2 linked regions of the Ovis aries genome follow. The protein of the gene in region 2 purifies or fractionates together with the protein of the main gene of each other region. This does not show direct contact. Links are inferred from orthologs where the notes say so. Each region holds a gene or a part of one and is shown on either strand. Other genes may lie near its edges.

Region 1 (4,327 bases), on a different chromosome or scaffold from region 2:
GCAGAGGTATTATGGCTGGCTTGCACAGAATTAGACTCCAGCATTTCATTAACTTTTTACTTTGAAATTAACTTATAAAGAGAGAAAATTCGTAAACATAAAGAGTTTTCACATATCCTGCACTCAACTTCCTCCAAATTAGCATCTTATAAAACCACAGTACAACTACAGAAACCAGGAAATTAACACTGAAACAGTGCTATTAATTAATCTGTATGCCTCATTTGAATTCCACCAGCCTTCCAAGTAAGATTTTTCCTGGAAAAATATCACTGTATTTTTTCAATGTTTTAGTTAATTACCAACACTTTTTGTAAGTAAGAGATTTCCAGACTTCCCCAGTGGTCAAGACTCCACACTTCCACTAAATGGGGCAAGGGTTCAGTCCCTGGACAGGGAATTAAGATCCTCCATGTTACGTGGAGGGGCCAAAAAAAAAAGTAAAAGATTTCCCATGACATTCTAGATCCCAATGCTCTCATAAAAATATCCAAAGATCTCACTGTGCCAGGCATATATTTCTGGATGGCAACAATAAGCTAGTGTTAAGCCATGGCTGCACCCTTTTGGGAGGGTTCATGCTCTCCCATTTGGCACTCTGATACAGAGATTCTTTTCCTTTATAGTTTATTACAAATGAGTAGTTTCCTGTGCTATACAGGAGGCCCTTGTTGATTTTATATATACAGAGAGAGTAGTGTGTATATGTCAATCCTATCTTCCTAATTTATCCCTCCCCCTTCTTCCTTTTTTGGTAGTGGTTTCTATGCCTGGGGAAAACCACTCTCAATATGAGTAACACCAATGGCTTCTTTCCCAAAACCAGTGGAATTTTTCACACCTGCCACTGGGGCCCACTTCCTCTAACAAATGTTCTAGTTCCTTGGCTTCTCTCTCGGAATTCCTCTTTCCTTTCTAGTGGTTACTTCTCAGATTGGCTCATCCCCAATCATGCCTCTTCTCACTCTTCACTTCTAGTGGGCAACCTCCCTGATGCCAGGGATATTGGATATGTCTTCCTCTTGGACACTTAGCACATCCAAGTCTCTGATACTGGACGTTAAGTGTGCCTTTTGTCTCTAGCTCAGTCTGTAAAGAATCAGCTTGCAATGCAGGAGACCCGGGTTCCATTCCTGGGTCAGGAAGATCCCCTGGAGAAAGAAATGGCAACCCATTCCAGTATTCTTGCCTGGAGAATCCCATGGATAGAAGACCCTGCCAGGTTACAGTCCATGGGGTCGCAAGAGTTGGACAGGACTTAGCAACTAAATCATCACCCCCTAGTCTGCAGTCTCCTTCACAGAACTGTGCAGCAGCTCTGTATCAATCCTCCTAGCCACACATCCATCCCATCCGGCAAACAATGAAGACACTAAGAGTTTCTGTTGAGAAGTCAATGTCAGCAAACTTGACTGAGCCCCTCAAGGACCGCAGCACCCTCATTTGCATGGTATTAAGGACATCAATTTTACATTAATGACTACAAAGTCTGCTAAGTGATGGTTTAGTACAGGCTTTGGAGTCAGACATCTTGGGTTTCCAATACTCATCAGTGTCCCCGTACCAGAGGTGTGACGTTGGACAAGTAAACCTCCCTGAGCCCAGAGTTTTCTCATTGTCAGTGGAGATAAATATGGCAACTGCTCCCTAGGACTGTGAAAAACCTGAAAGACACATATGAAGTCTTTTGAGAGAGCCTTTGAGTAGACTAGGTCTTAGAAACACCTAATGTTGGCAAAAAATAATGACAAAGTTAATATTACTCTTAGTTTGCTAAGCCGCTTCAGTCGTGTCCGACTCTGTGTGACCCCATGGACAGCAGCCCACCAGGCTCCTCTGTCCACAGGATTCTCCAGGCAAGAATACTGGAGCAGGGTGCCATTTCCTTTAGCATCAGGTAAATATCTCCAGCACTTTAATAACTAGATTAAGAGCACTACAGGATTTCCAGGCCTATTATCAGGAAAACACCAAAAATCTCTTTCCGCCACCACTTGGGAACACTCTTCCATCTGTTCATTAACGAAAGACTCTGCTGCTGCTAAGTCACTTCAGTCGTGTCCGACTCTGTGCGACCCCATAGACGGCAGCCCACCAGGCTCCCCCGTCCCTGGGGCTCCCCAGGCAAGAACACTGGAGTGGGTTGCCATTTCCTTCTCCAATGCATGAAAGTGAAAAGTGAAAGGGAGTCGCTCGGTCGCGTCCGACTCTTCGCGATCCCATGGACTGCAGCCTACCAGGCTCCTCCATCCATGGGATTTTCCAGACAAGCGTACTGGAGTGGGGTGCCACTGCCTTCTCCATGAAAGACTCTAAGTCCTTACTATGGCCAAGCCATCTGGCACCGGCTGAGGCCAGTGATACCTCTTGGGCTTAGTCGCTCAGTCCAGTCGGCTCTGTGCGACCCCATGGGCTGCGGCCCGCCAGGCTCCTCTGTCCAAGGGATTCTCCAGCTGAGAACTCGGGAGTGGGTCGCCATGTCCTCCTGCAGTGATACCTTTCGGCCATCCATTAAACCAACTGTCAAACCCCCACCCCCCCCCGTCCACTGACTCACGGAAAAAGGAAAACAGGAACTGCACACCTGGCAGGAAGGCGGAAGGAAAGCGAGTGTCGGCGAAGCAGGGCCGGAGCCGGCGGCCCCGAGAGCTGGAGGGCAAGTCTGGGCGGCGGAGGCGGAGGCGGGGACCCGCCTGAGGAGACCGGCCTAAGGAGCGCGGCCGCGCCAGTCAGGGCCGCCCGGCTCGCACTATGTTCCCGCGCCGGCTCGCGAGACCCGGGAAGAGCCACAGAGGCGGCCCCCTCCCGCGCAGCGTCCCCGGGGGTCGCGCGCACGCGCACGCTCACTCACCGCAGTCCTGGTCGCCGGCCTGCGGCCCGGCGCCGTGCGCGCCAGAAATATGCCTGCCGAGACCTGGCGGGCGCCACCCGTCGCCCCCGCCGTTCGGGGCGGGCCGGAGGCTCCCGCGGCCTTTTAACCGTCTTCCCCACCCCCACCCCGCCCCGCCCCTTCCCCACCCACTCCTCGCTCCCCGCGTCCCGCACTCCTCCCAGCGGTTTGCTTGTGAGCTGGTGCTTTCCTCTGAAGTCTTAGGGGAACTCCAGCGGTAATAACCACACACACTTCCCCTTAATCAGTGGCCTGGCAGACCCACTCGGGGATTTCCATGACCCAGAAAGCGTGACTGTTTCTTAACCGGGGCGGATCGACGTGGCATTTACTGAAATACCTTTACTTCATTGTTCGTGGGTCAGAGGAAATCTTCATAATCTGTGAGAGGGCAAGATGATCATTGGTCAGCCTGACTGGAAAAGGTGCATCTCCCCACGTAATAAAATATTAAACTTTGTGCAAGCTTTCTGATTTATTTTTACTTTTTGTTCTAATTGTAAAGCATAAGTGGAAATGTAGGGGTTTTGTTAAAAAAAAAAATCACAAGATTCTCCTTTTCAATTTATTTTTAGTCTGAAAAAAAAGGTTACCATATTAGTTTAGTGGGGAAAAAAATTGTTTTTTTCTGGTTGATTGGTTATATTTATAACTAGGGTGGAGTTGGCTGTAAAACAAATTCCTCTTTGTAGGCTTCAGTTTCACAGGGGAGATGTCTGCCATGATAGCCTCATAGAAATCTGAAGTCAAGTCTCACTACACATATTTTCCTCAACATTTCCTGCCTAAGGAGTCAATTTAAGCACATTTATCTAAAGACAGTGCATGCCAGGATAACAGATTGGGAAAGCTCACCTGATTTTCCTGCCTTCCAGTAAATCAAGAAAAAGATACCAAGCACTAAAGGCAGAACTGTAATGTTACTTAGTACTTCACTCTCCTGTGGAAACAGGGATGCAGAACAGTCAGGATGAGCTGGGGTATCTTCTGTGTTAGCTGATTTGGCTGTCCATAGCAGATTTCCAGCTGGAACTATATAAAAAAGATTCAGTTTACTTATGTGGAGATTTCGATTCATTTTGAGCCTGCTTAGTTGAAAATTTTATAAGCCATTTTCAACTCTCCTGTGAGATGGTGGAAAAAAATTTTGTGATCTTTATATATATTTATAATCATGTACCCACCAAAATAGTTTTGGAAAACTATATTTCCCTGCACATTTTTAACTTAACATTAAAACACAAAAGTTGTAGTTGCTAAGGAACTACTCAGTTCAGTTAAGTTCAGTCACTCAGTCGTGTCTGACTCTGCGACCCCATGAATCGCAGCACCCCAGGCTTCCCTGTCCATCACCATCTCCCGGAGTTCATTCAGACTCATGTCCATCGAGTCCGTGATGCCATCCAGCCATCTCATCCTCTGTCGTCCCTCTCCTCC
Region 2 (3,779 bases):
AACATGAGTCTTATCAACATAGGCCAACTATTTTATTGTATGATCAACTGGTGGAAGAAAAACCACCAGAGTTTATCAAACGTAAAATTTACCTATACACTGTTCTTTATATTTATGATCTGCATTTTCAGGGGTTACTTTTTAACAGATTAATCCTGCATTTTACTAACTTTAGAAACAAACTCCTGTGTTTCTATGAAATACTGCAATTTCATTATGGTTGTTTTCTATAAATACAGGGTTGCTGCTGCTGCTAAGTCACTTCAGTTGTGTCTGACTCTGTGTGACCTCATAGACGGCAGCCCATCAGGCTTCCCCATCCCTGGGATTCTCCAGGCAAGAACACTGGAGTGGGTTGCCACTGCATTCTCCAAAATGTAGTGTTAATGAACAGAAATACAGAACACTGAGCGATACTTCACTTTTCCAATGTAATGAAATCAAATAAGGTTAAAAAGATACAAATCAAATGTAATGCTGAAGCTTGAACTTTTTAAATAAAAGCAAAAATGGTCATTTCTGGGTTTTCTGTTCTTCATTCTACTTACAAAAGCATTGTTACATTTAAATGAACTTTTGGATACCTAAGATATCTTACCTTTCAGATGCTCTAGTTTTATATTCCTAAGTTTCAGCACTTCATCTGTAATCTTCTGTATAAGGAAGTTCTGTGTTTTTTCTCGTCGAATAGATTCGACCAGGGTATCCAGTCCTTTGGGGTTTTCTTGTAAATAGTCTAACAGTTTCCCAGCCCTTTTTCTACTTGATGTTCGGCAAGAAATTTCTTCAGTGTCTTCTCTACTGAGTATTTTTTTTGCTCGTAGATGATCAAAATGTCTCTCAGCTATGATTTTTTCACACAGGTATACACGCAAATTTTCTAAAGCCTGAAAGAAATAAAATATGGCTTAATGTAACACCTAAGTCATACAGGTGACTGATGGTAAGTTAGGAATCTGACTGGTAAGAGAAAACACCCTGAAGTCAGGAAGCTCAGCCCTACTAAAGGCATGCTATTAAGATGAGTGAACAGGGCTTCCCTGGTGGCTCAGTGGTGAAGAGTCTTCCTGCTAATGCAGGAGATACAGGTTCGATCTCTGGTCCGGGAGGATTCCACATTCTGTGGAGCAACTAAGCCCGTGCATCACAACTCTTGAGCCTGTGCTCCAGAGCCTGGGAGCTACAACTCCAGAGCCCATGCTCCCTAACAAGAGAAGCTACCACAATGAGAAGTCTGTGCACAACTAGACAGTAGCCCTCCACTTGGGGCAACATGAAAAACGCCTGTGCAACAAAGAAGACCCAGCACAAAAATTAAAAAAAAAAAATTATATACATTAAAAAAAAAGATGAAGGAGGAAAGAGATAGAAGTTCTCCGACTAGATATTCCTCACTGCTTCCGTCCTGCTCTGATCTCATCTCCACAACTGTAAGCCAAGATCAAACTATTGTGAGGAGGGGGCCAGTCTCTTCTAGCGATCTTGGGTCTGTGGAAATGAGAGGTATGCTGAGGGCCTTCAGAGGTAAAGATGAGAGCAGAGATTACTGGACATTTTAGTTTCCATTTAGTAAGGAATCTATGATTAGTCAGGACCAGAGAGGATAACTTAGGGAGGTCTCATGGTTTATAACTTTCTCATTATTAATTTTGCATCTTTCTAGAGTAAAACCCCAAAAGAGAGAGAGAAAAAGAAAGAGCCTAAACTAAAGGGGACCATAATGTGTCTGTCTTTGGAGTCAGTTGGCAAGACAATAATCTAACTCAGTCTTGGGAGGTAGAAAGGTATGGGAGGAAAGAAACAGTGGATGTTGGGGGAAAAAAAAAAAAAACCAAAGAAATACAGAAAAAGAAATCACATAAACAGGCCTACACCTGACAAGGGCTTCCCAGGTGGTGCTTGTGGTAGAGAACTCGCCTGCCAATGCAGACCCTAGAGACATGGGTTTGATCCCTGGGTTTGGAAAGATCCCCTGGAGGAGGGCATGGCAACTCACTCCAGTATTCTTGCCTGGAGAATCCCATGGACAGAGGAGCCTGGAGGGCCACAGTCCATAGGGTCTCAAAGAGTCAGAAAAGACTAAAGCAACTTAGCATGCATGCACACCTGACAAGTGCCTGCTGCTGCTAAGTTGCTTCAGTCGTGGCTGACTCTGTGCGACCCCATAGATGGCAGCCCACTGGACTCCCTTGTCCCTGGGATTCTCCATGCAAGAACACTGGAGTGGGTTGCCATTTCCTTCTCCATGACAAGTGCCTCATGAGGCTTAATTAGCCAAAAATCGATCTGGGTCTCCATAAATGGTATGAATAATTTGATGTGAGCAGCTGTATTACACAGCTCCTTCATTTACTAGATATGTGATCTTGGTAACTCCACTCCTTTGGACCTCAGTTTCCTCATCTGAGTGTAATGAGATATGTAATACGTAACATGTGTAAAGTACTTGGAAAAGTGCTTGGTACATATAAGTGATAAGTAAATATTAGTGATGATGCCAAACATGACTAATTTGATTCGCACTAACAAAGATGAACTACAGGCAATGGAAAATCTTCAAAATACTCCAGTATATGGTGGCAGAAAAGTAGCTTAGGTGAAGGGGTTCCTAGAGTTCTCAGTCCACTAAATTCTCACATTTATTTATTCACACAAGACACATTTCACATATCTAAATGCCTAATATGCCAAGTGCTGACAGTGGATATGCAAAGATGAACAAGACTTAAATTCTGCATCAAAGGGCACATAATCCAGTTGAAGAATACATTATTAACTCAAGTTAGTAATTATGAGATAATGGAATATGACCCAGAAAAAAAAAGATATAGGTCAAGTAGTGGAGAAGCAATTTATTCTGCTTCTAGGACCTGGGAAATTTACAGAGGCCACACCTGAGCGAGAGGCATGAAAGGTATGTAGTAGGGGAAATTACATTTCCCTGTAGCCAAAACCTCATCAAAGGCTTATAAATAAGAAGCCATAAGAAAAGTTTTACAGAGGGCTGGGAGAAGCAAAAATTGGGGTCAGAGTGGACTAGACAACTGCTGCCATATCTTACATATATTATGCTGAGTGCATGAATTTCAGCTGACAGGATGAGGAGAGAGAAAAACAGATTTAAAAGATGAACTTCTTGGAAAACCTCATGTGTTTCCCTAAATTTTGCTATGTGATCGAGACTCTCTCCCTAGAGATCCCAATGGTACTTGAAATTCAATATGTCCAAAAACCAAATTTATCTTCTCCTATCCTTTTCCTCTGACGTTGTAAACTCACTTGGGAGTACCACCATCTATTCAACAAGCTATAAACCTTCAACCCACCCTTGACTTTTCCATTTCCACCCACCCACCAAATCTTGCTGATATTTATCTTCCTCAGAGCATACATTCAAATCATCACCAAGTCTTATTACTACTATTTTAAAAAATGTCTGGAATTCTCCTGTTCCATCCATCTCCACTACCTGTACCCTGATCCAAATCACCATCATCTCTCACCTCTATAAAATTCAAGAATCTCCTCATTAGCTGCCTTCTTCTCACTTTTGCTCACCCCAGTCCATACATTAGGCAGAGGAAATTCTTCAATAGGTCTCTATTTCACTTGGGAAGAAAATTCCACTTTACTACCATCTATAAGACCCTTTATAATCTGGCCCTAGCCTACCATCCTAACTTCACCTCAAGACACTCAACAGCTTGCCTGCATTAGATCCTCTGCAAATTCTATTCTGTCTAGAATGTTCTTCCCTAGTTCGGTCATATCCTTCAGGA

The links.
Region 1: the proteins of BCL10 (region 2) and BIRC3 purify together in Homo sapiens (affinity purification with western blotting; 5 studies listed by BioGRID and IntAct, with this or other methods). This does not show direct contact. The link is inferred for Ovis aries from reciprocal best matches to the Homo sapiens genes BCL10 and BIRC3.

The regions. Positions count from the first base shown.
Region 1 is NC_056068.1:6,092,798-6,097,124, forward strand, and holds the start of BIRC3 (baculoviral IAP repeat-containing protein 3), read right to left. Parts: upstream 2,950-4,327; 5' UTR 2,558-2,949; intron 1-2,557. UniProt on the Homo sapiens protein: Multi-functional protein which regulates not only caspases and apoptosis, but also modulates inflammatory signaling and immunity, mitogenic kinase signaling and cell proliferation, as well as cell invasion and metastasis.
Region 2 is NC_056054.1:62,305,975-62,309,753, forward strand, and holds part of BCL10 (B-cell lymphoma/leukemia 10), read right to left. Parts: intron 888-3,779; coding exon 599-887; intron 1-598. UniProt on the Homo sapiens protein: Plays a key role in both adaptive and innate immune signaling by bridging CARD domain-containing proteins to immune activation.